3 linked regions of the Drosophila melanogaster genome follow. The protein of the gene in region 3 interacts with the protein of the main gene of each other region in a pairwise test. Each region holds a gene or a part of one and is shown on either strand. Other genes may lie near its edges.

Region 1 (7,243 bases), on a different chromosome or scaffold from region 3:
CCGTTGGTCAGAACGCTGTTAGACTGGAATACCCCGATTTGAGGAGGATTCTGGATGACATCGTTAACCTCGTTGGCATCGAACATTCCAATGGTTGGATGCTGTTGTTGCTGCTGCTGCTGCTGCTGATGTTGCTGTTGTTGTTGATGTTGCTGCTGTTGGTGTTGCTGCTGATGTTGTTGTTGTTGCTGCTGCTGCTGCATGTGTTGCTGCTGATGTTGATGGTGGTGCATATTCTGCTGATGTTGCTGCTGCTGCTGTTGTTGTTGCTGTTGATGCTGCTGCTGCTGGGGCGACGGGCCCTGACCCTGCGGCTGCAGTCCCAACGTAGTAGAGTCAAGTGTAAATGTTCCAATGGTCGGAAACGTTGTTGGGATTCCCAGGTTGCGAATGGCATTCATGTTGAAATAACTATCGCATGGCAAGTTGTCATAGATTTCTACAGCATTGCAGGGGAAATAAAATCAAACATTATAAGGACTAAAATAACAACATGCCAAATAGTTTAACATGCCAATAGTTTAAAACAAGGACTTATATAAACTAGATTAATAAGAGACCCAATTTCGGACTTACCTTCGCCGGTACGGTACACCTTCGATTGGGTATTCATGTTTGATTGATTGATTGATTGGATATTAACAAACAAAGAAAATGCTGATAAGGACTAGCAAATTGGAGACTGGTTCTTGGCGATGGTGATTGCGATGTAAGAGGTGTTATCGGATGGTCAGTGGTTTAATCCGATTTACCAATAATGGATGCGAATGACGAGAATTATTGGAACGAGAGTTAAAGTTGAAGAAAGCGCGAAAAATGACCGAAAACAGATTTCGTGATATCACTTCTGTTAAATTTTGTTTTTATGTTTTTTTTTTCTTTTTTTTATATTTTTCGTGTAGTTTTATATCAAAGAGAAAAAACTAAGCAATAAATACGTATTTGTTTTTTATTTGTTGTTTGTTTTGTTTTTTGTGTATATATATTTTGGCTAAACACTGGCACAAGAGGCACTGAAATTCCTTGTCTTCGAAGTTAATAAAAATTTTTGTCTTTTCTTGAGGGCATTCCCCGCAAAAAATGTGGTTGTTTTACTTAGCTTTCCTTTGCTGTTGTTGGTTTGTTTGTTTGTTGGTTTTTTGTGTTCCTTGTTGTTTTGTGTTTTTATATTTCTTGTAAAAAATGCCGACAAATATTGTAACGTTGTTGGTTTGTTTTGGTAGTTTGAAGTTCCTTCCTGGGTCTGTTGTAGGTTGTATTTCTTTTTAAAGTTGTTGTTCTTGAAATATTTTTTTTGTTTGTTTTGTGTATTCAAAATATTGTGGTTTTACGATGAAAATGCACACCAGCTCTGCTGCCGTTGGTGTTTTTATTTTTGTTCGAGTTTTGAATTATTATTGAATTATTGCATTTTGTTTGAAATGAATTTGGTTGATTTTTTTTTATATTTTTACTTTAGTTTTACTAGAAAAATACACTGGGAATACTTTTTACTTTTGGGTTAGATTAGCTTTGTTTGATATTTGAATATTTTGTGTGTTTTGCTTGATTATATTGGTTTCTATTTAGTATACATATATATAATATATATTTTGTAGGCAATCGTTGTGGTTTATAGGAAGTAGTAGTGATTTTTTATTTACTTTCGAATACCTTTAGTACAACGATGATTTTTGGGGGACGAGGTTTAAATCTCCTTCTTCCTCTTCTCGGGACTTCCGTTTCCGGTTCCTCGCTCACTCTCTCTCTGTATCTTTCTTTCTTTCTGTGTCGATTTCCTATTTTGTTTCGCTGTACGTTGCTATTACTTTTCGGTTGCACGATTTGTATAATTTGTTTTTTCTTTTTTGTTGTTTTGTTGCTGTTTTATTGCTGTTTCATTTACTATTCACTAAGCAAAAATTATGAGTTTTAATGTTTTTTTGTTTTTGTTTTTATATATGTATATAATAGATATAGGACACCCGTTATGTAAAGTTATCCTCGCTCATTTACTATGTTGAACTTTAAGTCTACGATTTATTTTGTTTTGTTTAAATATATATATTTTTTGAATGCGTTTTGAAGTCTTTTCATAACCTAGGGTTTTTATTTTTTGCTTTGTGTTGGTTGGTTTTGTTGTTTATTCACTTATTCCATTGTTTTGTTTTTGTTTTCTCGGTTGACGCTCACTAGATTTAAGCTTAGTTTAATAGTTTATATAATATAATATATAATATACTATAGTATATATGTATCGAAGTCCTTTAAGATATCACGAATTTGTTTCAATGTTTTTTATCTTTTCATTTGCATTTGCTCTTAAGTGTAAAGTTGTTGTTGGTTTAAGATGTTTTTCTGCTTTCTGCTTCCTCTTTCGCTCCTTCTTCTTCTTCGCCTACTGTTAAAAATGACGGGGTTTTCCTTTCATTTAATTAGAGATTTTTTTGTGGTTTTTCTTTAGGTTTTTGTTTTTTTTTTTTCTTTAAATTTATAAATTTACAGTAATTATCACAGAGTTGTTAAATCTTTCTTTGAATTTGTTTTGTTTTTCTTTTCTCCGTTTTACTTCCGTTTGTTGCAGTTGCTTTTGCTGTTTTAGACTTTTAACATTTCTCACTAGGTACACTTATAAAAAAATCTGAATTGAAAACTAGTAAAAAACAATGTTTTATTGGAAAAAATAAAAACTGTTTTTTTGGCACAAGGCCGCAGTTTTGAATTTGTTATGCGTTCTCTATATATATTGGCTTAATCCGTTTATTTTTTTTTCACTAATTTATTGTTTTAATTAAATTTATTGGCTAAGTTCAATTGCTGGTGTTGTTGTTGTAGGTCTGTGTAAAACGTGACTTAAAACTTATAGAATTCTTGTAGATTTTTGGTTTTAAATGTTTTCTTTATTGTTACCGTTATTTTTTTAGTATATATTTTTTATTCACACTTTTTTTGCGGCACAATTGTTGCTTGATCGGTTTTATTCAGCTCTCCTCGCTTCTCCTCCATTTATCGCTCTGTCTCCCACTTCCCTTTCGCCCTTGTGGGCGTTTATCAGTTGTTTTTGGACTTAAATTCTAGCAGTGTTTGTTTTTATGTTTAGTTAAATAATTTAGATTGATGTTGCGTTTTAAATTAAATCGTTTTTAATATGTTTAAATTATTTGTTGTTGATTTACTCCCGGTTATTTTGTACTTTAAAACATTAATTCAGTTGTTTGTTGGTTGTTGTTTGTTTGTTGTTGTTGCTGCTTTTGTAGCTCGGTTGTTGATGTCTTAATTTAAATTAATTAGCAAATTGAATTCACTCTGACTTAACAACAAAAAATTCGTAATTAAATTAAAGCTTTTCAGGAAAAATAATGAGGAATTTGGGATTTATTTAGCGTTTTTCCAAGTGTAGGTTTTGCGGTTTTGCTTGAATTGTTTTTGTTTTATTCGAGAGTCCGAACGCCGCAGCGCCGTTGCCTTTGACTTCACGTTAGTTTCGTTTCCCGTTGCTTTTTTGTTTTCAGTGCTTTTGCCGTTTTCTTGTTAAACTCCGCTTTACTTGCTCCTTCGTGGTTTGCCTTTTATTTTGTTTTAGCTTTTCTTTTTGTTTATTTATTTGTTGGTGCTTTTGAGTATTGACGAGTTAATTTCACAGCGTTTCAATTTGTTTGGTTTGTTGTTGGTTTTGTTGTTGTTTTATTTGAAAGTCTTCGTTTCAAGCTTGGCTTGTTTTTTATGTTGTTTGTTGTTTTGTTTTCTTTTTTTATTTGCGCAGTCGCTTTATCTCCCTCTCTGTCTGTCTCGCTCACACCGACGGGCGGCGTAAAAATTCTCGTTTTTTCTGTTTTGTGTGTTTTTCTTTGCAAAGCAAACGAAACAAAAACAAAGAAGAGTCCAAAAAACTTAAAAAGTTTTTGCTTTGACTTTTTCCTTTTGAGCTATGTTGTTGTTGTTTTTTATTTCTGCTGTAACTTTCAATTATTTGCGATTTATATTTGTATGTATTATTTTTTGATTCGTTTTCGATGGTGATTTTTTTATTTTTTTATCATATTTGTTGTTGTTTTTTTATATTATTATTATTTTTTCAGATTATGATGAAAGTGATGTCAAAACGGAGTTTTAGTTACAAAAGCTGTTGAATGAGAAAAAGAGAAAGGTGGAAACGATTAAGAAAAATTAATACATCTTTTTTATTATTTCTTTTATTTTTGGCTAGTGAAATCTACACCGAAAGTCTTGCTGCAGTTTTATCGATTTTTCAGTGTTGCAAATGGAGAGATTTTTGCCTGCCGGAAAAAATTGCACACACACTGGCGCAACCTACTACGCACACACACATGCACGCCCATACACACGCACACGCAATTGCAATCGTAAACTATTTTTACACATTATTGTTGTGGTTTTTAGCGTAAAATTAGCAACCCCGCAGACTGCACACACACATGCACAGTCACCGAAGTGCCAAGTTGGTAGCAAAAAAACGAATTTTCATCAACTTTTTTTTCGGGCTGCAAATTTGGTACCCTCAAACGCACACACACACACACAGAAGCGTAGAAAATCTGGCTGGGCAACGAAAAAACGTTAATTCGCCATTTAAAAACTAATTTCCCTAACACATTTCATATTTTTCCATCACAGCTTTGTTCGCGGCACATTTTCTGCATATTTTCGTTCCGAATTTGAGTTAAATAATAGTCCTATTTGAAGCGAACGAGAATTTTCTGGACCAGCCACACGTACCACACGACAGCACAACAACTGCTAGCGGGCGCCATATTTGCCGACAGCACGATGGCAGTGTTGGAAGGTGTGCGAAGAGAGGGACAATTGTGACGTCAGTGGTCATGGGAGTAGGAGCAGGGATCTCTTAGCTTTTCTATTCCTATATTTAAATAATCAAAACTTATCTAAGATAACGATTTAACTTTAATTCAGTTAAAGGGACTATCTTTAATGCAATGTCTAAAAGTAGTAGAAGTGCAGGGTTATACATCTATGTCATTTTCTATGCTATCACTGCAAATTATAAAATATGAATTGTATGTGACTTTTATGTAATATTCTTAGTTTTAATAATAAACAAAAGCAATTTATGTAATTAAATGGATTATTACTAAGAAAATTACATCTAAATATTTAATTTTAAACTGTACGTATTCGAGACAAGAACCATCGCTAGCTATTTCTAACTTAAGCCAACCCCAAAATCTTTTCGCCTTTTATTAAGCGGCAATATATTGATTTAAAAAATGAAACTAGTTTTATTTGTTCTGATAAATAAATATGGAAGATATGTTATTATCTTTGTAAAATTGGAATTCCCCCAAAAATGCAGAAGTGTATTCACTTAGTTTAATTCTTAATTTTCGGAAGTTCTGTCACATAAAACATAAAACACAAAAAATCCCTTTTTTAGATTCCTTTTAGCAGCCCACAGAAAATCACATTAGTTTTACGTCTTCCTGGGTCTTTTAACGAATTTTATTTCAGCAGCTCCTTGGTTGCTTAATCCATAATTAACTTAAATGGTATTTTGCATGATAATGGGATCCAATACATATGTATGCTGATAAATTGATTATCCTTGAACAGATTTTTAAAGATTACAATTTACAAAATCTAGTTAATTGGTTACGGTGCCTTTTATACATTCGACAGTGCAAAATGTTATCAACATGAATAGATTATCAAAACGCCCTCGCTAAATATAAATCTCGGGCTAATTGTAGTTAAAAAGATTTAATATCATGTTTATAATTTTTACGTTACGAGCACTTCGATTTGGTCACACATTAAATTGCATCTGGTTTTGCATATTTTAGGGTTATTTAATTGCCTGGATTGCGTTACATTTCTATACACATTTGCAAAAGGTCCAAAGTTTGGTCTCTGTGTTGTTCTAGGGATATATTTCAAACATATATTTTTGTGACAATATTTGTTGTGTATGGTGCAGTTTATATGGAATATAAATAAATACGTCTTTATGTATGTACAGCGAAATTTTAAAATTTTAAAAACCCGTTTAGCTATAGGCTATTAAAACTGTCCATTGCTTAAAAGGGCATGAAATTTCCTCAGCTTACATGGCTTTAATACATTTCAATATTCATTTGAAGACAAACTGTTTAACATTTTAATCTTAGTGGCAAAATCAAGAATTTGGGACATAACACGGTCTTGAATATCAATAAAAATGTCAAGTATATTTGGCAGTTCGCCCACTCACGTGTAACACAAACACGTACACGATTATTTTACAAATGTTAAGTACACGAAGCAAAAGTGAAACCGAAATCTAAATGTAAATGCTCAATGAATTTACGTACACGATAACTTGTAGGTAATAACTAATGTTACATATTATTCTCTTCTCTTTCACTTAAGAACTATGCAGATATTTGCAATTAACTAAGAAAACAAGTTGCGGCAAGGCGAGAATTGGGTTGCCATCTTAGGGCTTGCTGTCGAAGCCAGCGAAATCCGACGCCTCCGACTCATCGTCATCCCTCTCGACGCCGATGCAATGGATTCCAGTCCGCAGCATAGGAGTACCCTTGCCCTTGCCCAACACCCGAGCGGCTATGACCAGCTGTAGCAGCTCCTTGGCGTTCGATGAGCTGACAATGTGCAGGACCTCGCGCAACAGCTTCTCCTTGTAGGCAAAGAACTCGATTTTCATTTCGAAAAAGTCGTGCTCATCATGCTTGGTGCCCTCGAACTCCGTGATCCTGCAGTGCAAGCTCGGCGTGGCGCTAATCACCGGCTCAAATTTGCTGGCCAGCGTCTTGGCATCGCCGAATAGCGACGTCGGCAGCTTCAGTTCGATCAGATAGCGATGCCTGATCTGCAGAAAGCCCAGGCTCACCACAATCGTGTCACCAGACCTTTGGTATGTCACACAGCTGTCCGATTCGAAGTCATCCTTCACCGTGTTCGTGTCGAAGTGCACATGGTGGTCTTGAAAAAAGAAAAGTGGATGTTAGATTTGGTTAAAAAAAAAACAATAAGTATAAATCTATAAATATAAATCTATGCATACATCTAAGGACTGGTGGTTCTATAGTTGTGCATGGTTGGAAAGTAATACATTTTAATTACATTTAGAGTTTCAAAGTAAGGCTCTAGCTACTATGTATAAATTAATTATATAAACCTTTACTTCATGTTTTTCAGTCGTATCTGGAATTTCACAAGCCATCTTTAAGCCTGACCTTTTACTAGTTACGCAGTTTCCCTGATGTTTGCATGTTTGCAAATTGTAAAT
Region 2 (6,231 bases), on a different chromosome or scaffold from region 3:
AATAACTAGAGAATCAGACCAACAGCCTAAAAGTTTGTTATATATTTAATGCCATTTTTAATTTTCGCCCGCTATGCATCATCGTATTGCAACAAACTTTGCCATATAGAACATAAAGTTCGCCGTTCTAAGAGCGGCTCGTGTTCGCATAGAAAGTGGGTGGCTGTTTCAGGTTAATTTTGCAGCTCGCTTAGTTTTTACCTTGCAGCATGGAAATTGAACGCTAATGGCTCTGCAACCATTACCTGCCCCAAGGACCCGTCACTGCGAATCTCAATTGCTGTTGCATGCAGCAGCGAATTTTGCACCTAACTTGTGGTGCTTCTTTGTAAGTGTCTAATTGAAAAAGTGCTTGGCAAGGCGAAATCTTTTCATATTAGCGGGGGGAAAAAAAAACAGTTTTTATGAAGTGCACTGCAAATATTAATTTTTCAGGAGGCTTAATGCTTTGGGCAACATCTTTAGATTGCCCACATCCTGGAGAGAACCCACACTGCGAGCCCTGACATCGACAAGGAGGTAATCCTGAGCAACACTTCCTTTGAGCCTAAACGAAAGGAAATGTATTCATTGGAAAAAGAATGAACATTTTTATACATGTGTATTCAGCAAATAAATTATTACCAAATTACTATTTCTCCCATGAATATATACTAATATCAATGTTTAATGGGTATATATTTAATAAAAGCATGATTTTCTTAGAAAATTAATCTAAGCCCAATGTGCTACTTCTTCCACTGAAAACCCGAAGCTACTTTACTGACACTGAAGATTTTCGATGTGCGCATTCTACTTCTAAAACTACTACTACTACTAAAACTACTCATTCTAAAACTACTGATTGCACAGGCTATAAATAAAGTAATCTTTAAGCGTATCTACTTTGAAATGGTTATTTTCGTTTCGAATGTGTAATTATACATGTGCTGCAAGAGTCTTAACTAAACATATATCCACGAAATGTACTATTTTTAAGCGTGCACGCAACCTTTTCTTAAATGCAAAAGAACCAACTTAAAGAAAGGAAGTCCTTGAAAACTGTTTAACAAAATGCATGCTATGATACCGATAATTATACTTAATGACCCTTAATTTGATTCCGGTTCATTTGCTTCAGCTTAGCTCACCAAAAGCTCGCCGAACGAACAAAAATCGAACTTGTAATTGTATCAATTAAGTGCTTGTGGATTCACCGAGCGGTTCTTTTGGTTCAACTTTTTGGAAATTCGATGCCCTTGCATATTTAGCCAGGGCAAGTCCTTTAATTAAGACTGACAAGCAGGATGGCTGAAACTTTGAAGAGCTTATGAATTATTTCCTTTGCAGGACTTTGACTCCTTCAACCGAACAGCACAGTCGGTTTTATGGCTTTAAGGGTATATTAATCATCACTCTTGAACAGTTGCTACTCATTTATACGTGTCTGAACTGAATTACAATGAATACCAATTATAAAATGCACAGGAATTAAGGATATTATTTTTAGAAGCTATAGGTGGCATGCCATTTATTAGTAGCGTTAGCTGAGTATTTGATAAGTTTATTCACTAGTTTTACTTTAACAGAGGGACTTGTTTTTAACCTTTAACAAAACCTAACAAAAGCTCATTCTGTAAGTATATAAAAGTAGTCACCGCTGATAAAATATATATTTTTTTTATTTAAGTCTATATAATCTAAGTTTCAGACGATGCTTGCTCTTCGCGCTTAGCGCTAGCAAAGCTTCGAGATTATAATCTCAGCCGCTTATAATCTGCGTAAGACCGCCATCATCGTAGCCACCTCCACCGCCGCCTCCGTAGCCTCCTCCACCTCCTCCTCCGCCGTTACCATAGCCGGGTCCAAAGTTGCCCGAATATACTGGACGACGGCCACCTCCTCCACCTCCGCCGCCGTTGTAGTATCCTCCACCGCCTCCGCCTGCGTTGTATCCACCTCCTCCTCCTCGTCCTCCGTTGCCACCTGTGTAGACTCCAGGTCCTTGGCCTCCGGGTGGATTACCTAATAGTGATATTTAAATCAGTTTCTTGAGGAGTAGTAGTTACTTAATTGCGCGCTAGCTACTGCATTTTTTACGCAAGCCAGCAAATGTACTATGCGCTATAGAAATTAAAAGCTTAAAGCTAAGTGTTCGGAATTATATTATTCATAAACTTAACCAATAACAAATGTTTAGAGTATCGTTAATAATCACTTAATGACTTTCGTTGCCAAGAAATACCATAATATAATAACAAATTGATTGTTCATTCAAACTTTCGCTAATGAAAACACAAAATTTCCTTTTAAACTATGCCTGATGTGGCAGCGACGAAAATCGTTGAACAATTTTTGAATAAATGGCCCAAATTAATAGGCATTGACTTACAGTCGTAGCAACCGCCACCGATGTAAACAGCCGCCTCCGTTAGAGCCAGTGCAAAAAAAGCGATAATCGCAAATGCCGTCAAGGTTCTCATTGTGGCTGGTCTATTAGAACGTCGAACTGGTCTGGACCAGGTACGAACCGCAACAGCAGCTTATATACGATGCACTCATCGATTCCGATTCCGATACTGAATTTGAATTCGAATTCAAACCCAAACAGACCTTATCGCTGCAAAGAACTATTGCTGTGCAAACAAACCACTACGTATGTATTAAGTATTAATCTCAGGGAATTGCCCGCGGATGGGTTTCAAAAACAATCTGTAGCGCATCAGTTGGTCAGTCGTATTGCATTCAAGATACTCTACGTTACCTTTTTAACATAACAAATACACAAAATCTGTAAAATCTATAATAAGTCAGACACTTTTCATTTCTACAAAGTTGCAAAGATTTATTTTTAATGAAATGTATTTGTTTTCAAATATATTTTTTGCTTTTTCATTGTATTAAGTATCTTATTATTTAAATATAAATTGTTAGCTTTAGAACTAAAGCTTCTACATTTCACTCACGAGTCACGACTTTCGGTTCTGTAACCAGTTTTCCTTAGATGTATGGATAAAATTTAATGGTGTGCGATTCTCTGGAATCGCTTGCCATTCATGTTTACGTCTGGGAATAATTGTAAACCGACTTTTCGGGGCGTGACTGTCATAAGTTTCTTTGAAGAAGTTCAAGGAAATCAACTACGTCGACCTGATGCCACAAAACCGTGTGCGGAAAACCCCATCGAATTGCGATTTGATAGTGTTCTAGTGTGAAATTAATTTAAATATATTGTTCAAATACAAATCGAAAGCTCCAAACGCTTAGGCTTATGCAAATCGATTTTGATTCGGATCGAATCAAGTGCCGGACTATATAAGTAGCGTGAGAGTCGATACGGTCATCTATCTATCGGCTTTAATATGAAGTACCTGACGTGTGTGCTGCTCCCGTTGGCTTTAATTCCGACTCTGATCGGCGGTAAGCTGGACGGGATTGCTGCTGACGCTAATTGATACACACTGAAATTATTTCCAGCTCATCCCAGCACAGTGGTGGTGAATGGCGTCTGTCTGACTTGTAAGTTGCGATTGTTTTGCCAGCTAGGCAATTGGACAACTTAATGAATAATAATATGCACTCGAAAAGGTCCCAATCCGAATGGTGAACCCGTCTACCTGGATGGCCAGCAGTACCGCAGCTTCTCCTCATCCCCTGGCGATGGTAATGTGGTCATTTCCCGTGGAAATGACGGTAGTGGCGGTGGAGGTGGCACCATTTACCGGAGGGGTGGTAATACCATCGTCAATGGCAGATGTCAGCACTGCAACGTGGATCCCTATTAAAGGCTTAAACAATAAAGTCTGAATATTGAATTAAAATTGCGCACATATCGATCAATCCATTTCATACTTACACTTGGCTATGTACAACATCATTTAGCTAAAAGCATTGACAATCGTTCAACCCAGTCTCTCTGCAAATTCGATGAATGTGATGGTTTCGAGTGCAGAGGGCATCATCTGATGGAGGCAAAAAATGGAAAAATGAGCGTTTTATATTCAGTTTTTGTTACCACGAAGTACACGTGGAGAAACATGAAACATCCGAGTTATTTTATGCTGCGAAAAAAGCGTGAAGAATGTTATAATTGCTTTTGGTCGAAATATTCAGTCCTGAAAATCAAATTTTTCACATTTAAAATAAGAATTTTTTTTAACGATTTCCAGTACCTCATTGCGTGCACTGCGAGCTGTCTGTTTGTGAACATTGGCTTCTCTCATCCTTCTCAAAAATAAGTGATACAAAAGCGTTACATTTTCAAAAGCCTTGGTTTCAAAACAGTCTGCAAATAAGGGAAGACCCACGGATTTTGTGACGGAAAAATAGAGAAATTCGTGCTGCCAATGGCATCGATTGTTTGAACTTCAGCTAGTTGCCACATAAACTGGGCTGGGAGCTGACGTCGCTGTCTCCAGAGTATTGCACAGCATCGATAATCAAATGCGAGTAACCAACCGTGCAATTTACGCCAGTGGATGTGTTGTCAATGAAAACGCTGGCCTGATGTAAGGGTGCTTAAGGTTGCGCGTGCCACGTGGCGTATACGTAATGCTACTGCAGGAACGGCAAACAGAAGCCTCTCAAATATTTGCTTTGAAACTAACTACTCGACAAACAGTAAACACTTAGTGCATACACACACACACACACACACACACACTTCCCAAGAATATTTTGTGCAGAAGTTTCGAATAAAACTGATGCTGTGTTTTTATATACAGAATAAGAAGGGAAAAGTTTCATTCAGGCTTAGCATGCGAAAACAATTAAAATTGTAAAAGGATTACTTAACAATCATACAATTTTGATTTAAGCGTATAACTTAAGAGAATAGTATTGATTCCCGGACATCCAAGAATAAAAACCTAAGCTTTATTTGCAATTAAAAAAAAATACAATGCATTGAAATCAATGGACTGCCCTTGCGGATGTGCTAAATTCAGAAAAACGCTCGACTGGCTTAAAATTCAATGAACATTTGGGTGGCATAACCATACCAATCGTAAAGGGTTTCGATACACTTTCTCTGATTTACTTTTAATACACTTTATTGGCAGAAATGTGTCGTTTCCTATCTTTTTGGGTCACAAATTGTTTACACGCAACTTTAGAAGCCCCATGAAGCTGAGGAACTCAGTCCTAGTCCAGAACAGGGTGGTTTATCTGCCTAGCAACTTAAGGACCTTGAGCTGGGGAATGTTCGAAATTGAATTTATGTTGACTTGTATTTGATTTCAGGTCAATTTCTGTTCTCTTGTGCCTAATTTGTGCGGCATTAGAGGGGAATTTCTGGGGCAGGTGAAAGGTGAGCCGATCGGACTTGTGGCAGCAGTGGCCATCTCCTTCACGCTTTTCAAATAAATTTTAACTTTTTTCTGTTTCGCCCCCGCAGTGTTTTGCCAGAAGGCAGAATTGATTTATTTGTACACCAATGTTGTTTGCCCTGGGGGCAGCGCCTTTGGTAATATTGTCACGTGCTTGGAAACTCTTATATCTGCCACTGGTTGAGCTTTATTTGAAAATCCCGGCCGCATAGCAAATTTACATAGCTTTAATTATTATATTTTACCCCCAACTCGCCAATGCTTGTATAAAGTCGCTCTTCTGTTTACTGCCTCCTTTTGGGGCGCCAGAAGATATTAATAAATAAATTAAATTCCATGTACCCAGCACTTCATTATCGACAGGATTATTCCTTTTCCCACCATCGAAATTGGAATTCCGACTTTGCTGAAAGCGTATAATTAACGAAAATGCGATAAGTGCTGGAATTATGCGGAGAAAAGCATCAGTTTCTGCGAAGTCATCCTTACAAATGAGACACGTGAAATAGCTTTGGTTGATTGTGAAATTTAAGGTATTTTGTGTGTGTTGCTAAGGGATACGACTATTCTATACTTCAATTAAATGAATTAATTTACTACTAAAGACCTAATTTATTGCTTAAGCGTTTCGACAGGTTTATATTTACTAAATCATAAACATATTAAAACGGATGCTACATAAAAAGTTTATGGGGTGACAAGGTCACGAAAAGTATGACAACTGCGAAAAACTTGAAGCTGACTTCTGCAGTAATTCGCAAGTTAAACTTTGAAGGGCATACACGAACAAAAAAAAAAGGAAAAAAGAGCTCAGAAGTGTAGCTAAAACTTTGAAAGGACAACTTTCTGCGATGGAAATTCTTTTGTAAATACCCAGACAACAGGTTGAATACTGCCAAACCAGCAAAACGAATTAACCCAAAAA
Region 3 (7,436 bases):
AATTTGCAAAAAATGGCCAAAAAATAAAATTTCCATTTTTGAACACAGTTTGATTGGAAATTTAATTACGAGCTCAACGATGTATGGCATTCCATGATTGGGCCATTATTTAAAATGTTCTGATTAAAAAACTGATAATTTTTTACAGAAAAAAGACAGACGATCGATTTTTTGCAAAAAGTCAATATTTCCGATTCGTTTTTTCGGTATAACTTGGCTAAAAATTGTCAGAAAGCTCAGAGATAAATATTTTTTGTACTCGTAATTACCAATACTAACTATCTATATCTTTTTTTGACGGACTGTGTAAAATTAATTTTTGGCCAAATTTTCGCATTTTTTGTAAGGGGTAACATCATCAAAATTTGCAAAAAATGGCCAAAAAATAAAATTTCCATTTTTGAACATAGTTTGATGGGAAATTTAATTACGAACTCAACGAGGTATGGCATTCCATGATTTGGCCATTATTTAAAATGTTCTGATTAAAAAACGGATAAATTTTTACATAAAAAAGATAGACGATCGATTTTTTGCAAAAAGTCAATATTTCCGATTCGTTTTTTCTGTATAACAAGTGTACATAGTTTTCATCGAATACATTATACCTTTTAAGGTAAAGGGTATCAGGTATATGTAACTACAACTAGTTCAATGCGGGATTGTGTGAAGCATTGCTTTTACACTGCAAAAATATTTAGAAAGAAGTTATGTATGTGGAAACTGGTTGTGCAAATGCTAAGTGAAGTACAAAAAGCTTCAGCATATTAATTCAAAACTAATTTTTTTGGAAATCCTGTCGAGTTCTACCTTTTATATAAAATGAGAAAATTGATTGCTAATGCATACGATTTTTTTTCGGTGCAGTCAGCTGACTGCTTGTTCTTCCCTAATTACCTTCTCTCTGGCGATCATTTCGACAGTTCACCGTAATGTTGCGACAGGGCTAACGGTTTTTTTCGCGTTCTCGTTGCGGCCCTTTTTATTTATTGGCTGGCAACAACAAAAACCGCAAAATGAAAATGGAAATTCGAAGAGCGGCGGAATGAAATGGAAAATGGTCGTGTGGTGGGAAAGTCAAAGTGGGCGGGGTGGTGGGGTTAGAGGGGAGTTGCGGGGGTTTAAGTAAACGGGAGTTTGTACCAAAAAGTTGAGCACTGCAAATGGCTCGCCATGGGCGCATAAATTTCCAAGCCACCTTGTCTGTTTTTTTGTTTATTTATTATTTTGTTTTTTTTTGTATGCTTTCTGTCGCTATGGTGGGTTGCTGCTTTCTTTGCAGGCATTTCTTTTCATATTTTTTTTTAGTTTTATTTGTATTTTCTTTTTTGGCAATTTCCAACATGCAACATGTTGCACTGGAGTCAAGCCGAAACCCAAAACTTTTCCCGGGACTCCCGAAAAAGAAAAAAAGTTGGGCAAAAAATGTTTTTTCGCCTCGCTTCCACTTCCACTTCCTCTTCACGTTTTCGTTTAAACAGTGCAACATCGTACACTCATTTAAACCAAAACATATATTTACTTTTCAGTTTTCAATATTCAGAATTTCAAAAATTCTGAATAGCTTTTTTCTGAAAATATGCTGCAGAAGCCTCTTGTTGAATATCCTTTTCGATTTTCAAATTTGCAGATATCCAAGTTGGACTGTACTTTTTAGGTTTTTTAATATTTTTTTTTGAGAACGGGTTCTTCTCTAGCTTTATTAACGTTTTTGGTGTTGCTGGGGGATGGGTCCGGGGAAGGGGAGGGTTGATAGTAGGGGGTTTTGATATTGTTTGCTGGCAGGCAGCGCAGTCTGTAATATTTTTGCCGCATAAAAGTCAAAATATGCAAATAAACTTGAAGTAGGGACGAGTACTGGAATGGTGGGATTGGGGGCAAAGTGGAAAACGGGTGGGGCGGCTAATACGGTGAAACAGACATAGGAAAACAGACTAATACAATGGGCAGCCGGCTGGAAGGGGGCGGGGTCTGCACTCTGCAGAGGCAGCGCGGCTTAAATAATAAATGTAGTACACGCTTTGAAAGAATTTACTATACTTTGGCAAATGGAGGTTATAAAAACCTACACACACACACGCACACACACACACGCAGGGCTGTCCGGGGTCTGGTGTCCGTACTGTCCGTATTGTCCGTTGTCTGGAGTTCGGGGACCGTGGTCAGGAGTCCTTGGTCCTTAGTCCGGGATGCGGATTCAGTGTGTAGCCGCCGATTTTATGATGTTTTTGAGTAGCGGTGAGTTGCGGATCTCCAGGGTGGGTATAAATAAACAATGCCCCTATAAGGTGGTCAATAGGGGGTTAAGGGTAGCGGCATTTCATATTGTTGCTATAATCAGCGGCCGCTTTGATTCATCTGCATGTCCGCAGTGGCGGACGATGAAGTGGAGTGTAGTGGAGTGGAGAGAGCAGAACCTTTGGTTTTGGCTTTATGCTCTGCCACCCCAGAATCATCAAAGAGCTAACCCGGGAGCCAGCTCCCCAGCCCCAGTCCAATCCAACCCAAGAGGCCGAGCCCAAGGCAACCGATTGCAACCTTAGCCCCACGAAAGCCAAGCCCGAACACCACCCCTACCCATTCAACCAACAACAACAACAAGAACACAAAACACCCAAAGTGGGTACTCCACACAGACTCCACTTGCAACCTGTCCAGTTCCAGTTCCGAGCATGTTCGCTGCTCGAGTTCGATGGTCGGGGTCTAATAGGAATGCTCGAGAACTAGGCCAAAAGCTAGCTAGATAGATGTCTTCTACCAGCTAAACTGAAATGAAATATTTAATTTCCCTAACAGTTGAAGTATTTCTTCAATATATAGTAATACTGCATGTTATCAACATCTTATATATTTATATTTATGTAAGGAAGAAAGCAACAAAACAAACTCTGAGTACTCGCATTTATCCAATATTTTGGGTCAGCAGGACTCGCCCTTCGCCATTCAAGCCAAATCTAGCTATAGCTAACTGGGCTGCTCGCACTGCAGTAGTTGTTGCCGCTTGTTGTAGTTGCCAGCGATGTTGCAGTTGTTGCTTTTATCTCTGTTTCGAATTCGGTTCTCGCGTGCTCTCTGTTTTCGTTGGTTTCGTTCAGAGCAGCATTAACCCTCGACGGCGACGCTCGTTTTTCGGTTGTTCGGCTCCTGAAATCGAAATTGTAATTTCGCACAGCGTATACATTAGATTTTTCATCCTTTACGTGTCGCGCGTGTGCTATTCTTGTTATTGTCCCGTCGTCGCCTTTTTTTTCGTGTGTATACTTAACAAAATCGTTACAAATAAGCATTTTTTTCACGTTTGTTACTGTTACATCTGCTTGGTAATTAAAAGCACAAAAGTCAAAGCAAATAAAGCACGTTAAAGAGAACACCGAAAAAAGAATAACAATAACAAATACAAATACAAGTAAGCTAGCTTGTTGTTGGTGTCGCGCAGCATGTGGAGTTACAGTTAACTGTAACAGTTAACGGACAGCAAAGCGGCAGGCGGAGAAAGAGGTGTGTAGGAGCAGTGGGAGAAGCACAAGGAGCAGCCGAAGCGAAAAGAGAGGTAGAGAGTAGGATTTACAGCTTCTTCGCTTCACTAAATGCAGTCGACGCTGCGATTATTATGTGCCAGCTCCAATAACAACAAACGCAGCAGCAGCAAAAAACCGCCGCAGCAGCAGCAGCAACAACAACAACAACAGCACCACCACTTGATACGAAAATAAACAAACAAAATCAATCAATTAATCAATCTGCTGAGCACACCGCTCTCCACGCCCACACACACACGCGCAACAACACAGGCACAACAACAACACACACGAGTGCAAGTCAACGCCCACGCCCATTGGAGAAAAAGGAGGGAGTGGCAGGACGACAACAAGCAAAGGAGTCGTTGGAGAAAGGAGGAGGCGAACCACGAGGACGAAGACAACATGTTCCACTCACTTGTTTTGATGGCCTGCGCCCTTGCCGCCCTCTCCGTCGCCCAGGGGGCGGGGTCCGCTCGATCCAAATCGCTGCCGTTATCGCTATCGCTATCGGTATCGGTATCCTCGTCATTGGCATCGGCATCCAGTCCAGGAGCTGCTGCTGACCCAACAGCCGCCTTCACCGTCACCGCGACCGCCCCCACCCCCGCAAGTGCTCCCTTTGCCGGCAAACAGCTAAACAGATGCCGTCAAAGTTGCTATCAGCAGGTAAGAATCCAAGTGAATACATATAACTAAGAATCCCAATTGAAGCAACAGAAACTCCAGACTCAGACTCGTTACTCGCACTGAGAACTCCGGGAACCCGAGATAAGACCTCGGATCGGATCGGATCGGATCGTATCGGATCCGTTTCGAACCCAATTCGTTTGATGGACAGTTGTATGCCCAGTTGAGGGGCCATATAACCGATAGGGCATTCGCTGTGTACACAGCGAAAAATAATATATGGCTGATATAAAGTCGGAGGATCGCTGTAGATTATGGATTGGCAAGTGCAGATTAGAGAACAGCTGGATTTCGAATAATATACGAATGGTTTTCAGGGGTGATAGCCCAATTTGAATATGGTACATGGAATATGTATGTTACATAATATGTGAATACCCACATATGAAACTTACAGTTTTCAAATCTTTATGTAACTACAGCTTTGCTTTCCATTCAACCCTTGATTCATATGTACATACATGTACATATGCATGCACACATCATTGACTTCTCTATGTAGACATGTATCTTCAAATTCTCATGTTAATTAACAATCCGTGAATTTGCATGTTTCGGTTATTTTTCATTTCCTTAAAATCGTATTTACGGGCGGCATCTGGTTTTCCTAATTTATTCATAGTTTCGAAACCGCATTCTCCAAAAATGGCCGAACGAGGCGAACGAGAATAGGGTTGGAAGAACTTCCTTGGACTTTTTGATCCATGTAAAATTTACTTTTGCCCTAATAACTTGCCCAAGATTCAGGGGCTTAAGATTCAAATACTTCACTGGAAACGCTCGAGTAAAATAGTTTTCCCAACACACAGGCACATTTCCCCCGTCACTTTTCAAGTGCATCGCTGTGCCGTCAGGTTCTTCAGCTAATGCGATTAAGATTGCCCTAATTGAGGTCGAATGTCGAATTGGCCTCCGGCTACCCGCCCCGTTTTTTCTCGCCGTGTAGGGAACAGTTGTGCCCTGGACGACACCGACCTTCGAGGTTCGGAGACGCGGACACAGAGACGTCGATGACAATGACAATGGGGTTCGGTTTTCGGGACCTGAACAACTGGAGGACTGAAAGACCTGAGGAACTCGAGAAGGCGACGTCATTTTTTATGGCCGCTCGCTGGGTCTTTTATCTTTTATCTACGGGTTGACATCGCAGCTATTGCCGCTGCTGCTTCTGTTGCCGGTTATTATTGCTGTTGTTGTTGTTGTTGTTGTCGCTTACCCTACCGCTTACCGCTCAGGTGGTCACCAGTCACCGCCGGTCGCTAGAAAGATGTCAACTGGGTGGTCGAGCATCGCTAATAGAGATCGGGAATTCAATTTGATCCGTCCATAGACAATGGCTACAAAAAAAAAAAAGACCAAAATAAATGAACAGAGCGGACATATAAAAGCCCGACAATCCCGCGCAGGAATAAAAGCTCTCGGATCGAATTTGTACAAAGCTGTCACAGATGGATGGACAGAAGTTGAGCTGAAAGGGAACCCCTTTACCTTTACCTCTTTCCGAAAATAGAGAGAGAGCAGGTGGGCAGAACAAAGGTCTCTGAAGAAGTAGAGGCAGCCAAAGGAAATACAGAAGACGAAACTTTGAGAAATCACCGCGAAAAATCTGAAACAATTGAGAAGGGGAATCCAAATGGGAATAACTTATGGCCAAGTGTTGTGCAGTGACTTTGGATTAAATACTCTATCATTTACAAAATTAGTCTTGGAAAAGGCCCACTTATCAGTTTTAAGCCAAAATAAGCCTCGAAAGCAAATGGAAATTTCCAATTAATTGAACTCACCGCAATTTCGAGGCTGGCAAGCTTGCTAAGAGCAAATAAATACACAAAACTAAAGACCCAACTAATCAATATGAATAACAAAGTTTTCCCACCAACAAATCCAAGTTGAAACTACAATCGTGTCGAACTGAATCAGAGAACTCACACCACCACCGAGAAATTTCAAAATGTAGTACGCTGAGTTGACACTTTCTTTTGTTTTTTCCCCTAAAAACAAACTTTGGATCCCCGGGGATTGGGTTTTCCCTCCGCTCCGCTGCATGTAACTGATCCCCAGCGAAATAATTTCGTATATGTATTTGTCTCCCCGATGTACGAGTATTGAAATCAAGACGCAGCGCAGAAGTAGAAGTTTCCCAAAATGATTTTACACCACCCAAGCAACCAGTTGATTTCTAAATGCGTGACTTCCTGGAACCGCGCTGATCTGTCAGCGATATCGGAAACAGAGGATGGAGTTGGGCTGACAACTGTGGACGGTTAATAAATTTCAATCAAATGAAATCAAATGAAATCAAATTTTCATATCGATTCGGTACGAGGAACTCCCCGCCAAGTGCACATGCATAAATCAAGTGGGAAAAACACAAGAGTATAAATATCATCTCCGATTTCCAAGTAAGTCGAGCTCTCTGCGGCTACACGGCATGGGACTTAGATTGGAATTGGAATTGGAGTTGGAATTGGAATTGGAATTGGGTTTTCCATTCGAGTGGGGCAAGCAATGCAGCAAGGCAACCGAGAAACCGACAAACTGATATACCGAACCGGGCAGAACGAGGCAGTCAACCCAATTGACTCCATGAGGAGTGCTCATGAGTGCTGTGGCGACACTTACAATGAAACATGGTCTGAAACTCGAGAGGCCAAAGACACTCGGACCGGACCGTCTGGGGGCACTCGAGATCGTTCTAGGGAAACGCTACAATGCCACATCCAGTACGACCAAGTCCAAATATAGAGCCAAAGTTTATTGATTTAATGCGAGAGCACACGGCAGCAATTTGTCCACATATTCATATATACATACATATGTATGTACATATGTAGTTCGGTAGCACATTGATATCATCACAAGAATTATCCATCCAGTCGCCTAAATATAATGTGAAACCCCATAGCCATGACTAATCTGGTTACTCAGAATAAGTGTATATCCAATCATATATATACAATATAATATATGAAATATGTAGCCATCGTTTACCAAAAATGACAAGTTCATTTACATCATACATAACATAAGTTAATCTTCACTGATTATTCAGACTGAAATGGCAGATGTTCGCTCTAATATTTCCAGCACTCACTCACTTTCTTGTTTCGCTTTAAATGTGCCTAGGCTTTTCGGCTTTAGTGTTATGCCAATCTTTGTTGATTATTTAGTCCGAAATTGCAGATTTCAGGCACGAAATACTTAAGCTTTCGCCTGTGTGCTGTCTGC

The links. Proteins that work in one complex are often made in the same cells at the same time.
Region 1: the proteins of fend (region 3) and Unr interact in a two-hybrid assay, tested with the Drosophila melanogaster proteins (one large-scale study listed by BioGRID).
Region 2: the proteins of fend (region 3) and BomBc3 interact in a two-hybrid assay, tested with the Drosophila melanogaster proteins (one large-scale study listed by BioGRID).

What each region holds. Positions count from the first base shown.
Region 1 is NT_037436.4:8,437,617-8,444,859, forward strand, and holds the start of Unr (upstream of N-ras), read right to left. Parts: upstream 4,092-7,243; 5' UTR 614-4,091; coding exon 577-613; intron 440-576; coding exon 1-439. Other genes in the region: CG6983 (uncharacterized protein), read right to left, coding at 6,431-6,936. UniProt on the Drosophila melanogaster protein: RNA-binding protein that acts as a regulator of dosage compensation in both males and females.
Region 2 is NT_033777.3:22,083,862-22,090,092, forward strand, and holds BomBc3 (bomanin bicipital 3), read left to right. Parts: upstream 1-3,321; 5' UTR 3,322-3,341; coding exon 3,342-3,399; intron 3,400-3,456; coding exon 3,457-3,498; intron 3,499-3,567; coding exon 3,568-3,764; 3' UTR 3,765-4,640; downstream 4,641-6,231. Other genes in the region: BomT3 (bomanin tailed 3), read right to left, coding at 1,742-2,004, 2,372-2,462.
Region 3 is NC_004354.4:9,130,691-9,138,126, reverse strand, and holds the start of fend (forked end), read left to right. Parts: upstream 1-3,027; 5' UTR 3,028-3,923; coding exon 3,924-4,187; intron 4,188-7,436. UniProt on the Drosophila melanogaster protein: Involved in the normal targeting of ventral muscle, muscle 12, by motoneurons. May function as an axon guidance molecule involved in neuromuscular specificity.